Arabidopsis thaliana: one gene and its partners. The protein of the gene in region 2 interacts with the protein of the main gene of each other region in a pairwise test. Each region holds a gene or a part of one and is shown on either strand. Other genes may lie near its edges.

Region 1 (4,653 bases), 410 kb from region 2:
ACTAATTAATTTTATCTAAAATAACTGAAACTATTTTTTTCGTACTATCATCATTCGACGCATTTTTATATTAAAAGAACTAAATCATCTTTGAAATCGAATTTTCATACATTTTTAATTTTAAAGGGTAATATATTTGATAGAGTACATATTTATTTATTGATTTTTTATATAAAAATGAGTGAACCGTCTATAATTTATAATTAATAATTATATTAGTGTAATAATGCATTTCTGAAGAGGGGATGGATTAGGTGTAGTATAATAATTATATTAATGTAACGTTTTAATCCCCGGGATTAAAGTGAAATATCACCTCACACGTGAACTGTAGTCAAAGTTCCCTACTTCCCGCATGTAAACCTTACATCACAGTCTAAACACTAAACATAACGCATGACCTAATTCACTTTCACACTGGGTGATGTGATGCTTCTACATTACTCATCCCCATATTAGCGCATTGTTTAACAATTCCACATATATAATCAATTTTTCAAGAAGAAGAAACAGAACAACATTATAGATTTCTTTAGATAATAATGAAACACACATCATATATTATTGGTCAACAATTTAACGAGAGAGTTTTGTGAATGTTGTCCGAAACTCATACATAAACACCGTCACAACAGGTAACTGAAACCAATACTTTATAAAATCTTAACATTTAAGCCTACGTACGAGAGATGGTGAAAGAAAGAGACAGGTCTTAATTTCTTCTTCAAACTCAAATCTCCCACACGACTAGATCTGCAAAAGCAGAAAAGAGACCTCGAAATTAAATCACATAAACAATTATATACACACACATGCAGGCACATCCTCCGAAATATGGTAGTATTAGAATTTATACTACAAAAGTCAAAATACACGAAGGCCAAAAAAAGAAAAAAAACCCCAATGAATGCTCTAAAGAAGCGCAAGGTGTGTGTGTGTAATTAAATTAGATTGAGTCAACATTGTTGACCTAAGCCAAACAACATGTCTCTCGCATGCATTTATCCATTTTAGATCCCAATGAAGAAATAAACTAGTACTAATATAGATGTATAAACTATAATTATATAGACATTAAATAAGTATTCATTTTACCATAGTTTATTTAACCGATAGAGTAGTATCTAGCTATAGTGGAACCTTAATTAGTATAACAAAGGAAAATAGAGAGGAAACAAAACCAGATAGTACGAGGCTCCGTGTTGAAGAGGGTGAAGAGCGACGCCATATTCATCGGTGACAATGGGCTGACCCGCGGAATTAATCAGAACAACCTCTTCCCCAAATGCATCCCTCACATTGAACGGTCCTGAGCTCACTTCAAGCTCCATTTCATTGATGAAAACTCTTATTCGTGCGTCCGCTGCATCCATATTTAGCCATTGTTATCCCATTATTTCATGTTAGTATAATGACTATAACAATCTATATAAAACAAAATTGTAAAGCTCACACAATCTATTTTCAAGAAAGAGAGAGAGGGTATATAGAAATAAAGAATCATCTAAAGGCTACTAAACATGAAGGTTTTAAAAAAAGATTTGTATGGATCAATGTGTCCCTTACATTGTTGACACAAAATTAATGTATCTCTACGATTGAGTAAAATTTCAACATGTATATAAGTAATCTATAACTTAAAAAGGGTGATAACTTTATATATTAACATTACCTTGAACTTGAAGCTGGTCCGAAGTTGATGGGACAGTAGCGAGAGAATGCGAAGTAGTAATAGTGGTGGCAGTAGAAGTAGTGGGAGGAATATGAAGCATGATGTTATTGTTGTTGTTGTTGTTGTTGTAAGAAGCTATTTGATGATTAGTGGTAGCGTAACAAATCTGAGTCTGTGGCTGTTGCAACATCTTCATCCTCATTTCTTCAACTTCTTTCTCACTCAAGTGTTGTTGATGATGAGTTCCATAACTCACACTACCGTTCATGATCTCACTCAGCAGGAGTCCGGTACACGTTGGAGCCGGTTTTTGTTGCTCAATCATATCACCGGAGAGAAACCCTAATTGGGATGAGACGGTGATACCTTCAAACCCTCCGACAGTGGAGACCGGGAAGAGAAACGCCGGTTCCGGTGGAAACATCCCCATCATTTGACTACCACCCAAAGAGAGATTAGTGTTGTTCTTGTTCTTGCTTTTTCGGGGTTTGGTGGATTTGGAGGAGGAAGAGGAGGAGGAAGAGGAAGAGGAAGCCGAAGGTTGCGGCTGCGGCTGCGGTTGCGTTTGAGGGAGAGAGTGTTTGGAGTGGTTGTGGAGGAGGCGGAGTTTGTGTTTACTACGGGACTTACGGTTTTGGAACCAGTAGAAGACGTTAGCATCACCGACTTGGCCGTATTCTTGAAGCTGAGCCCTAATCCTCCTGATCTCCTCTCTTGGAGGATTCACCATCCCGGAGTTAAAGATTGCTTCAAGTATCCGAATCTGCTCTGGCTTTGGATTCCATCTTGGTTTTGGCTCTGGACTCCTCTCCACTTCACATCCTAAAAAATTCACAATCTCATCAGATAAGAGTTCTTTAAAACAAAATTTAGTTTTGAATTGGTAAATATGTAGAAGTAGAAGGACCTGAAGAGAAAGGAGAAGATCGGTGAGAAGCAGAAGGCAAGAGAGGAGAGTTGATGTCATGTTGCCATTGATGGGGATGAGGTTTGGACTTGAACATGCTTGGCCAGTGTCTATTCGAAGAAGCCATAACTAATTAACTCGATCCGCAGAACACAGATGTATGTGTATGCATATGATGATGATTGATGTTGAATGATGATGTGATGATGATGTGATGTGTCAAAAAGAGAGGAGGAAGAGACAGGGAACAGAATGGCTAAATGGAAAGATAAATAAAAATGTGAATAGGGCAAAAGGGTTACGACCTCTTTCTCTCCCTCTTATAGCCTCTCTTCACCTACCCAACCTGTTTTCATATATTCATTCATCTCTTTTACATAAATTTAATTTAAAGTCTCACCCATATTTCTATACACCATTTCTCTTTCTCTCTATATCTATGTATCTATCTATGATGTATAGATGTGTATCTATATCATTATGTGTATATGTTTAGTAAAGACAAAAAAAACTATCACTACTTCTCTTGTTTAGGGAATCAAATGAATTAGAGAAGTAGGCTAAATCCTATTAACAGAAATGTTATAAAAGAAAATAGGAACACTGTTTTCATTACGTTTTATTATTAACTACTTCAGTCAAACAGTATGATTTAGTTGCATACTTGCATTAAATAGTTTTGAACAAAAAAAATTGCATTAAAAAGTAAATTTATTAATTCTATAGAAGGTCTTTGATCGCTTATATATAGATTATGAGGAGCACTTTGACATTTTAGATTTGAATCCAGTTTTGCTTGTCATGGTTCAATTATGATAAAATAAAAACTGTTTTAGGGGTTAGTTCCCTTTAGTGTCATCTAGTGGGAAAATGTGTATATCACCAATGGAAATTCAAAAGGCATTATTACAGTATTAAAAAAAGAGTGACAAGGTTAGTATTTAAGTACGTCAAAATGTGCTAGTCGACGAGTAGCCTATATTGCTATAACGTTAAATCACTGATGGATTGACCAATACTTCAATAACAAATAGAAGAAGACAATTTTGGAAATCTTAAATTTCTTCAACAGTCATTTGATTAGTTGTGTATCATGAGCGTTTCTTTTAGCCTCGCAAACAAATAGAAGACCGCATGCATTCACACTGTCTAATAAACCACTTTGAGAGTCCGAAGGAGCTTCACTGAATTAGCCCCAAACCATATCAATCTCACTCACAAATGACCAAATTGATAGCATACCCTGTGGCGAATGCTTAATACCATTAAATAATTTTATCATTTGTGTTTTTCATATATGTACAAAAAAATCCAAAATCCATATGAAAATAACTGATAGAGAGACTAGTTATATGTGCCCAAAAAAAAAAAAAAAGAGAGAGACTAGTTATATAGATTTATAGAGTGGGTACTGAATTATTTAAAAATATTCAATATTTATTATAAGAAATTATTTTAGCAATTTTAAAAAGTTGCCATACAAAGTCATCTGTAATTTTACAAGGGTATTTGAAGCGCACTCCAAAAATTTCTGTTTACTTTAGGTTTATACTAATAGACTCTGAATTCATATTACTAAATTAAAAAATTTAATTAGTAGAGCAATACAGATTTTCTGTTACTACATCCATATTAGAGTTTGCATGGTATTTCATTCGTTTGTTTTGTTATTCACATTCCTAATATCAATTTCTGAGATAGAAAACAGTAAGAGACAGGAAGAAACTCAAAGTGATCATTAATGCAACCCCATGCCTCACTTCCTTACACTTCTTGCATTAAACTCCAAACTGCTTCTGCAGTTCAAACGTACGAACACAAATTTCTTCAGAAATTGAAACAACAGATTCTTTGAAAGTGATCCATGTTTGGTTCTGAACTAGGATTTTTTCTCCTTTTTATTATTTTCTCCTCTGACATCTCAAAAAAAAACATTAATTAAAACAAGACAGAAAGATTGTAAATTTTCTCACATTTTATGTTTATTTATTAACTATAACAAGATGGGTTTTTATTATTTGCTTGTATTACAAAAAAATAAAATCATGTAGTTTCTGGATTTTCAGTCTGTGCA
Region 2 (4,615 bases):
GGGGATGTTTTCTTCGTCGTTGAGAGAGTGAGATCGACGTAGAACCATCGGCACAAGCTCCGGCTGAAAAGAAACAAGAGATGAGATGAGGAGAGAATGAATACTATGTTGGAGAGGAATAGAAGAGGAAGAGAAAGCCTCTCAATTTTTTGCTTATTTAGAGAGATGAAAAGAAAGAAGAAGATGTTAGCCACTATGGCATACTAGCTAGAAAAGACTTTGGGCAATATGGCATTTTCAGAACTACAGTGATGATAATATGGCTTCACTGTTGATAAAATCTTGTTTTAATGTCCATAGGAGTATTTGTGTCTTAGGAAGTCTTAGATTATGTAGTGATTTTAAGAGTTTTTGTGACATTTCGTATCATTTGGGAGTTGGAAACAAATAAGATAAAAGAAAATTCAAACACATGACTAAATGTGTTCGTGCTTCCAAGGATGGTCGATCAATCTCTGAAATTATGATCGTCCGACCACATGATGATCGATCCAGCGTTCAAAACATGGTCGACCCACCATGACCGAATACTATATTGAAAATTTTACTTGTCCAAGAACTACTAGGTGTTCTTGAAAAAAAAAAAAGATAAGAGCTATATAAGTTAACCATCTCAGAAAATCTTGAGATTGTTGATTAGTTTAGAATCATCTAATACGAGTGTATGACGAAAATTCAGAGAAAATCTTTCTTATATTACACACAGACATAAGACATAACTCTGGCTCTAAGATAATTTATGTCATTTCTAAATCAACTGCAAGTATATTCACACCGAAGTCCCTAACTTTAAAATCATTACTCGTTCCTGCATTGCTCTCCAAAGGGTGGCAGAAGAAGAGCCAATCTTGCCTTGTACCTCGCGATTCTCTTTAACCGTTCTTCTCTCAATCTGCAAACAAAACAAACCACACAATTTTGTTCAAAACAAAAAATATTCAATCTTCAACCATCGAACTTAGCTTTGATGATATGTTGTGGGACTCACCGAGCGCGGACCTTCTTAGCTCGGTCTATATGTCTTTTCAAAAGATCAGATTCTGACAAATGTTTCACAGATTCCTCGTCCTGAAGCTCATCAAGAGAGTTGAAGTAAATAATCAAACTTAGCTTTACCCTTCACAATTACCATTTTAGAAAGAAATCAGAGAAACACGAAACCTCTTTGTCTTCTTCGCAAATTGCTTCTTCAACTAAATCTTTTGGCAAACTTGTCTCCGTCTTGTCCACAGGTAAAGGCTTTGGCAAACATGTCATCATATCAATTCGCTGCGGCTGTAAACAACGTCATTAATCTTCCAAAGATATCAAGAATAGATATACAAAAATCCAAGTGTTGCATTATACTACAAAGCAGAAATAAGAAATGGATACGAACCTTAATTCCCTCATGAGCACCATTTCTCAACCAAGATCGACACAGCGAGTATAAAGAAGCTCCCTCGGTTATTCTAACCTGCAGAACAAATAAAAAGTATTTAAAATTCCTCAAATGGCGAAGCAAGCGGTTTCGAACGATAATGCAAAACCAAAAAACAAGGATAAAACTATACCTTTCTTTTTCTAACGAGGACCAGAGCATCATCCCGGCTCCTAAACACCATGGAAACGAAACAGAGACATTATTAAGTTTCTAGAGTAGTTTCTAATTAACAAAGCATAATGGCAAAGAAGATAAAGTACCTGGCCTTCTTATGCCCACTGTTGTCTAGAATTGAAGTTGGAGAAGGAGTAGCCTAACAATCAAAAATCCAAAATTTACAAAATGTAACCTCACACAAATATCTAACAGAAGTTTCAACCTTTCCTAATTCATTAGAGATTGCTATTCGAATTCTACAATCACCAAAGCAAATAATCTTCACTTCAACATACACATTTTCACTAACTAGCACAAGCTACAAAAAAAACACTTGACAAAACTATGGAATTAAACAAAAAGATTCAAACTTGTTTTGGTAACGAAAACGATAACTAACCCGAGGTTGCAAAAAATGAGGAACTCCTTTCATATGACCGGAACCAAGTTGAGGAGATTGTTGATTCTGAGGATGTGCAGCTCTCATGAACTGATTCATTGGATCCAAATTCGACACGAATTGGCCATGGTGGTATCCGTAAACTGGCCCTCGAGGAGTATACCCACCTGGACTAGGACTACCAACTGGATCAGCGACGGAATTGGAATTCTGTCTAACGGGTCGGGTCGGAAACCCTCGACCCGAAGAACCAAACGGGTATATCAGACTAGACGGGTCTGGGTGAGGAGGCTGATGAGGCGAATTAGTAACGGAATTCGAACGCCTAATCGGTAAAGGGTTAGTGTAGATATTTTGATGAGGATGATGACGATGAAGCGGAGCTATGGCTCTGTACGACGAAGCTGGTGTTTGAGGTTGAGGTTGAGACGACGGCGTTATGACTGTGTTAGGTTGTGTCACCGGAGATTCAGATGCGGTGACGATTGGAGTCGATACTGCTACAGAGACGGAAGGATTTGGATTTGGATTGGGATTGGGATCGGGAGTAGACATTGTTCCGGCGGATTTTGATTTCTGAGAAATTTGGGGAAAATCAAGTTAAAGACAACGATTCAAAATTTGGTAGCTTTTTCTTTGATTTTCAGGACACGAACTCTTTTTAAGTTCCTTCTAACTAACTAAACTAGGGCTCGGTATTTAATGTTTTGGTTCGGTTTTTTACTTTTTTCTACTCGGGTCCGGTTCAATGTGAGATTTACATTAACGAAAATTAATCCAGGATTTTAAAATGCTGATTTAGTTACGGCTGAAATCTTTTTGGGTAACATTTAAACCATAATGCAGCCATCGTATGGTTGGGTTCGGTATTAAATGTGACCTTAGTTCTAAGTTTCACAGAAAGAAGTGTAAGCTGTCTGAATCTTGAATTATTTATTTTTCCAATAATAATCCATAAGCTGAGATATCTGGCCACAGCTCAGAGAATGTGTAAAGTTTAAGACTCTACATAAAACATAATGGATATGGGTGGGGTATATTTAGCAGCAGCACAAAAACAGGGGATGATCATCATCTACAAAAAGATTCAAGATTCTGTAATGGCAGCAACATGAAGCTGTTGTTGTTGCATGAGGAAGAAATAGCAATGCGCATCTGAGTGAGTTTTAGAAGCCGGCCCATCCAGCAGGTTGAGCTGTTTTCTGGTTTTCTCTCATCTTTGAGTTCCCATATCTCTGTGAAGTGCTGTTTCCAGAGCCCATAGATCTTTGTGTTCCAGATGCAGAAGTAGCAGCTGCAGACGTTGCAGCGGCTCTAAAGGATTCTGTCTCGAAACCCCATGGCTCAAAACCTTGAGTACCTGCAGCAGAAGCTGGTTTACTTCTGGTTCTCACAGACTGATTAATCGTATTATTGTTACCCTTTGATGCAGATTCCATCACGGGTTTCGCTTCATCACTAAAAGGTTGCCATGAATTTGTATCAGAGCTGCCAGTTGACCAGTTAGATCTGTCCTGTTGAAGTTCCCACATTGTTCCTTCCATCTTATCTCTCTGTTTCATCAAGAACATTAGAATTCTAAGATATACATTGATGAAGACTTTTGTATGGGTGTCTAAGCTTAGATGAACAAGAACCAAGAATAATACCGATGGAGTTGATGACATGGAATGCATCCCTGGAGAGGGTTGATTTTGTGAAGAGTCTCTGCTCGGTGACGGTGAGGCACTTTTAGAGGCAAGTGTTTGTTTGAGATCCTGCAACTCTTGCCTTTGCGATCTGCAGATAGCAGAAAGCTTTTCAAACTTAGCAGTTATTTCTGCCTTCTCTGATTTTGTTTGCTTCAACTCGTCTTTTAACCTCTGTATCTCAGCTTCCAATGCCTCTTCTTTGCCAGGTTTATTACCATTATCGAACTTTGTGGTATCAAAGTCAGCAACAAACGAGTTGAAGGCATCATCCTTGGACACTCTTGTCATGTTATTGGCTGCAGCAGGAGTTGTATTCTTCTGAGAAATCGTAGTTTCAAGATCTTTATTTCTTTGAATACCACGAGCCTCTCCTCTCACAGGACTTGGTTTTTTGGGTTGATGACTATCCACACGAACTCTTTCAGATTTAGATGTGTTACTGTTTGGTTCATCAAATTTAGGCATGTTTTTGTTATCTTCTGATACAACTGAGGTTTTAGCATGCTGAGTCGCCCAAAAGGCACCGAGCGGTCCTCCACTATCTGATTCTCCAGAAGATGGTGGCGGCGGTGGCGGACTTCTACGAGGTGCTGGAGAAGGTTTAGTTGCTGATTTTGATGAGCCTGTCAAAATTCATAAGGATCAAAAGAAATCACATCTTTCTTTGAGAAGCTATCCAAAATAGGTTTTATTCACTATACCATCATGGACTCCAGTAGATTGCATTTCAGGTGGTCGATCCGGTAATGATTTCTGTAAATTAGCAGGAAGCTGCTCATTGACACGAAACCAAATCTGTAGATGGACATGTTGTTAGAGACATTTTACATTTCCTCAACTGAGAAGAAACAATGAGTAAAAATTGACTTTTAACCTGTGTAATATCTGGTCGTTCATCGGGTGAAGCTTGGAGCATTTCTTTGATGAGATCCGTAATAAATACAC
Region 3 (5,310 bases), on a different chromosome or scaffold from region 2:
GAGACACGAGGTACTGGGGATATGGAGGGTCAGAATGATGATGGCTGGGTTCACGGGTTGGCCGGTCAGCACATCTGCAGCGTTTGCAGCGAGTGAGATGCTGAAAGCTTATGACAAAAACTACAAACTGGGAGGCCATGAAGGAGCGCTCTACCTCTTCTGGAAGAGACGACCCATGGCTACATGTTCCGTGTGGAAGCCAAACCCAAACTAGATTGGGTAAGTTATAGTGATGATGGTTACTTGAGTGGATAAAGAAGAGCACAACAAAAACACATCTGTCGCTGTAAATTTTTTAGGATGTGCAATGATGTTTTAAGTTGTAACACAACCTAAGTTATATATGTATACAAACCAAACCTGGTGGTTGTTTTTCTCTTGTAAATTGTCATGTGGTTGTGGGTGGGTTGCTAGTAATGAAATATAACCAAAACATTGATTAGGTCATTTTATGATCTTCTTCTATATATACCGGTATAAGTCAACTGGCGGCTGAACAAAGGTCGTGAGGTAACAAAATATGAGACAAATCTACAGGTCAGATTGGGTTCTGAATTCTGATAAGGTCTTAAAAAGGAGCTCACCAACCCACAAAACCATGGATTGAACAAGTACAGGTCATTGCCTTCATTTTATTCTTTACTTTTCTAAGGCTCAAGCTTCCTTTATTGCCTTTAATAACAATATACTAATGAGTATTTTGCACTCAGTAACAAAATTCAGGAGAGTAATTTTTTGCCCTAACATGTTACTTTTATGTGTTAAGAGTTTAGAATTTTGGATCTATGATTTTAGTTTTTGTTAGGGAATCATATTCATATAAATAAAATATTGCCATTGACTTAATTGTTGTTATTCACCTAATTTCTCTCCAAATTTGGTCATTTACCTCAGTTGATTCTATATTATACTTGCTAAGTGTTCTTTGTCTAATTCTCTATCATTGTTTGATTTAATAATAACCAAACCTTAAGACTTGGAAGCAAAGAAGAGAGAAAATCCCAATTAATTTTTAATAATTCAAAGAGAGATATTGAGTGACTTCCACTAATACAAAGAAAGCTTGGTTTGTGCAATATTTTGCGGTTAAGCTATTAATTGCTGAGGCAACACCTTTTCACACTTTGCTTTCCTTCTTCCAAGTTTTCAACTTTTCTTTCTTACTCTTTCTATTAATCAAACTGCAACACAAAAATCATTTGGATAATACATGTTTAGAAGATGATTAAGCTTTAGTTTTATTTCAAGATTATCATAATTGTTATCTGTTGTTACCTACATTCATATAATCTTATCAAAAACGATAAAGACAAAAAGGGGATACAATATAGGTTTTTATTATAAAGAAACAGGAAAGAAAGAAAAGGGTTTTCACCAAACGAAATTAGTTCAATCATTTAAATTATCTTTATCCTTATGATTAGTGTCTTTATATCTGTCATATGCTGCTTCTCCTTCCAACTTCCTTTGGATTATATTCTCTTCTCTTTATTTTAATTTCCATTTGTGGTAGCTGTTTTATTTTTTGTATTTTCACGCCGTGTCCCTTTAAAATAATATTAACTACACCACTAATGTTGGAACATGAAAAACATGAATGAGGTAATTATGATGATGAACCAAATGTTAAGGACAAGCTCGGTGTAACTAAGAAGATAATTAGTGAAACAGAACAAGTCAATAACTTGTAAGCATTTCAGAATTGAAAATAAAGATAAGGGAGGATGAATATGAATTTAGTAAATGGGTAATGAAAGTGAAAGAAGAAGAGGGAAGGGTTGGTTACTGTCTCAAGGGTTTGAAATGGAGACGGTTGCTTGAGAATGAGGAAAAAGAGTTAGTAAGTTTTTAACTCTCTCTTTCTCTCTCCCTCTCTCTTTTTCAACGTCAATTCCTTTAAGGAATGGCCTCTCTCTCTCTCTGAAAGTGTGTGTGTATATATTAAACGACTCCATTTCTCCTCTGCTTAGACCAAAACTCATCTTCTATACTGCAACAAAGAAGGAGGAGCCGTTGAGACTACAAAATGACTGCAGCAGAAAACCCTTTTGTATCTGACACCTCTTCTCTGCAAAGCCAGCTTAAAGGTTCTTATTTTTCTTTCTGTTTATTGTTCATCAACCCTTATGAGTAATTTGCTTGATGTTGAGGTTGTTCTGCTTTCTTTTAATTCCACTCTGCAGAAAAAGAGAAAGAGCTTTTGGCTGCTAAAGCTGAAGTTGAGGCTTTGAGAACAAATGAAGAGCTCAAAGACAGAGTCTTTAAGGAGGTAACATGCATGATGATCATCAACTCTGTTTGTGATTGTTCTACAAAAACTTTAAGTCAATCTTACCTATAAGTTTTTTTGATCAATGTTTTCCATATTCAAACTGTCCTTTTTGAGCTTCTTGAGCTCTATTGATGCTACTTGGTGTTGTTTCAGCTTAGAGAAAACGTGAGGAAGTTGGAGGAGAAACTTGGAGCCACCGAGAATCAAGTTGACCAAAAGGTGAGGTTTTGCTCAAATACTATAGACCATCTTTGTGAAGGACTCATGTCAAAACATTAGAAATGACTAGAATAAGTTAAGCTTGTGACATGATTGTAGGAGTTGGAGAGGAAGAAGCTAGAAGAAGAGAAGGAAGATGCATTGGCGGCACAGGACGCTGCAGAAGAAGCACTAAGGAGGGTTTACACTCACCAACAGGACGATGACTCTCTACCCCTAGAATCCATCATAGCTCCTCTTGAATCTCAGATCAAGATTCACAAGCATGAGGTTCTTAAGACTATATGTATTTCAAATTTCTTTCTTGTATCAGTGTGAAGTGCCAGATTTTCTTGACATGCTACTGTTTGACAGATTTCTGCACTTCAAGAGGACAAGAAAGCGTTGGAACGTCTAACAAAATCAAAAGAATCGGCGCTTCTTGAAGCAGAGAGAATCTTGAGAAGTGCCCTTGAACGTGCTTTGATTGTTGAAGAGGTCCAGAACCATAACTTTGAACTTCGACGACAGATTGAGATATGCCAGGATGAGAACAAGTTTCTTGAGAAAATTAACCGCCAGAAAGTGTTGGAGATTGAGAAGCTCTCCCAAAGCATTGTAGAACTGGAGGAAGCGATCTTGGCAGGAGGAACAGCCGCCAATGCAGTTCGAGACTATCGCCGCCAAATCTCCCAGCTCAATGCAAGTGTTCTGTTTAGTTTCTTGTACTTCATTCTCACATTTGTTTTAAAGGAAAATCACATGATTTTTTCATCGTTACCAGGATGAGAAGAGAACCTTAGAGAGAGAGCTAGCCAGAGTCAAAGTGTCAGCAAGTAGAGTGGCACTTGCAGTTGCTAACGAGTGGAAAGATGAGAACGATAGAGTCATGCCTGTAAAGCAATGGCTTGAAGAGAGAAGGATTCTCCATGTACTCACTGCTTTTCACTTACACATCCAGTTAATACACACTGACTAGCTTATATGGGAAACATTAGTGTTGAACTTTGTGTCTGTGTGCAGGGAGAAATGCAGAAATTGAAAGATAAACTCGCTGTTTCCGAGAGAACCGCTAAGGCTGAGTCCCAGCTAAAGGTGATTGCTTATGTAGTTAATATTCTGTTGGTAAAAAGTGTAGTTTCTAATGCAAGTAAACATTATAGGAGAGGTTAAAGCTTAGGCTGAAAACCATAGAAGATGGCTTGAAGGGCCCAAACACGTTTTTCGTCTCTCCAACTACAAAGACTGAAAAATCTGGCAAGATTTTAGGATTCTTGACCAGTGGTGGTGGCTCAAAGAAAAGGTCTAGTTCTCAGCTAAGAGGCTCAGTTACAGGCAGAATCCATGCTATGAATCAGCCAATTGACAGAGTTGGGGAAAGTGATGAAATGGAGAATTCAAAGATTACTGCAAACGGATTGACTGATCAACATGAAGAAGATAGCGAAAGGAAAACAGAGGAAGATGGAAATGTTTATTCTGAAGATATGGTTTCAGGGTTTTTATATGACAGGCTTCAGAAGGAAGTGATTGCTTTAAGGAAGCTATGTGAGAGTAAAGAGGGTACTATAAATGCCAAAAATGAAGAAATCAAGGTAACTTCATCATCTTCTTGTGGTTGTTTAAGATCCTCAACTATATGAAACCTCTTAAGATACCTCTGTTTTTAGATGTTGTTGAAGAAGGTGGATGCTCTAACGAAAGCCATTGAAGTTGAGACAAAGAAGGCAAAGAGGGAAGCCGCAGCGAGAGAAAAGGAAAACGCATTGGCAATGTTGAATGAAGAGTCAAAACTATGTAGAAAGGCAAAACTACCGAGAAGGTTTGGTCATCACATCCTTTGTTGTTTGTCTTTGTCTTTTGAGAAGTATACATAGTCAAACATCAAGACAGTTGATATTTATATGTTTATGCTATGTTGTGCAGCCGCATACCCAATCCACGTTGCCAGTAGAGGAAGAAGAAGCTTATGGGATTGAATACTAAAGAATATGGTCTAATGTTAGGTTGTACTGTACATATTGAGTATTGGATGATGGATTATAAGAAAGTGAAAACTAAAGATCAAGAGATGTGTATGTGTGTTATGTATATCGGATTGCAAAGCCATGTTTCCAGATGATGACACAAAACTCCTCTCTCTTCTCCTACCAATTAGTTGAATGTTAGCAATTATCTTGGAAACCTATAAGTAAATCAGAATCAGCTAAACACAAAAACATGCATATTCTCTCTCAAAGTCATACATAACCATATATGTCTTCTCTCAGATTTTTTGGTCTTGCCTTGGTTGTTAGGCTAACATAACAAACTTTGCATCTAATATATATATCATAATCAGTTACAGGATCGTATGATCTCTGTAGTAGCAAGAAGATCCAAGCTTGAAGAAAACATAAATTTTATTATATACAAGAAGAGCATGAAGAACAAGATTTACAAAGACTATCTCTCTTTCTCACAAGAAGTGAGAAGGAACCATATAGAAATAAAGTCAGGACTGATCTTTCCTAGCAAGATTAATTTACAGTCTCTTTTACATGGTGCTCTCTTGTAAGGTGATATTTCCAGCTGTATAGACACGAGAGCCGTTGGAAGAGGAGAGGAGTTGAATACCTCTGTGAATCTTGGAAGAGCATCGATACGGTTTAGGGACAGAGAGTGTTTTAATGATACAAGCCTTGTCTAAGTCAGGAATCGCGTGGAGGTGAGAAGGAAGATCGATGACGAATTGCCCCAACTCATTTGTCACAGCTTTGATCCATTTAGATCTCCTCCTATGTCCAGTATGGCACTTGAAGCCAATAGTAGCTCCTGTATGATGATGATGATGTGTTAGA

The links. The genes of interacting proteins can lie anywhere in the genome.
Region 1: the proteins of AT2G32840 (region 2) and HB-3 interact in a two-hybrid assay, tested with the Arabidopsis thaliana proteins (one large-scale study listed by BioGRID).
Region 3: the proteins of AT2G32840 (region 2) and MAP70-5 interact in a two-hybrid assay, tested with the Arabidopsis thaliana proteins (one large-scale study listed by BioGRID).

The regions. Positions count from the first base shown.
Region 1 is NC_003071.7:14,340,892-14,345,544, forward strand, and holds HB-3 (homeobox-3), read right to left. Parts: upstream 2,888-4,653; 5' UTR 2,707-2,887; coding exon 2,580-2,706; intron 2,495-2,579; coding exon 1,673-2,494; intron 1,364-1,672; coding exon 1,146-1,363; 3' UTR 754-1,145; coding exon of another isoform or gene 748-753; 3' UTR 531-747; downstream 1-530. UniProt on the Arabidopsis thaliana protein: Homeodomain transcription factor required for meristem growth and early development. Promotes cell proliferation and prevents premature differentiation in meristematic tissues during postembryonic development.
Region 2 is NC_003071.7:13,932,303-13,936,917, forward strand, and holds AT2G32840 (proline-rich family protein), read right to left. Parts: upstream 2,648-4,615; 5' UTR 2,535-2,647; coding exon 1,980-2,534; intron 1,737-1,979; coding exon 1,684-1,736; intron 1,594-1,683; coding exon 1,554-1,593; intron 1,457-1,553; coding exon 1,379-1,456; intron 1,276-1,378; coding exon 1,162-1,275; coding exon of another isoform or gene 1,126-1,161; exon of another isoform or gene 1,069-1,125; coding exon 989-1,068; intron 893-988; coding exon 799-892; 3' UTR 537-798; downstream 1-536. Other genes in the region: AT2G32850 (Protein kinase superfamily protein), read right to left, coding at 3,146-3,532, 3,629-4,293, 4,372-4,465, 4,545-4,615.
Region 3 is NC_003075.7:9,656,122-9,661,431, reverse strand, and holds MAP70-5 (microtubule-associated proteins 70-5), read left to right. Parts: upstream 1-1,855; 5' UTR 1,856-2,026; coding exon 2,027-2,087; intron 2,088-2,183; coding exon 2,184-2,269; intron 2,270-2,425; coding exon 2,426-2,491; intron 2,492-2,590; coding exon 2,591-2,761; intron 2,762-2,845; coding exon 2,846-3,172; intron 3,173-3,254; coding exon 3,255-3,401; intron 3,402-3,493; coding exon 3,494-3,565; intron 3,566-3,633; coding exon 3,634-4,065; intron 4,066-4,140; coding exon 4,141-4,292; intron 4,293-4,396; coding exon 4,397-4,424; 3' UTR 4,425-4,780; downstream 4,781-5,310. Other genes in the region: SCL13 (SCARECROW-like 13), read left to right, coding at 1-214; AT4G17215 (Pollen Ole e 1 allergen and extensin family protein), read right to left, coding at 5,007-5,284. UniProt on the Arabidopsis thaliana protein: Plant-specific protein that interact with microtubules and regulates microtubule dynamics. May play a role in anisotropic cell expansion and organ growth.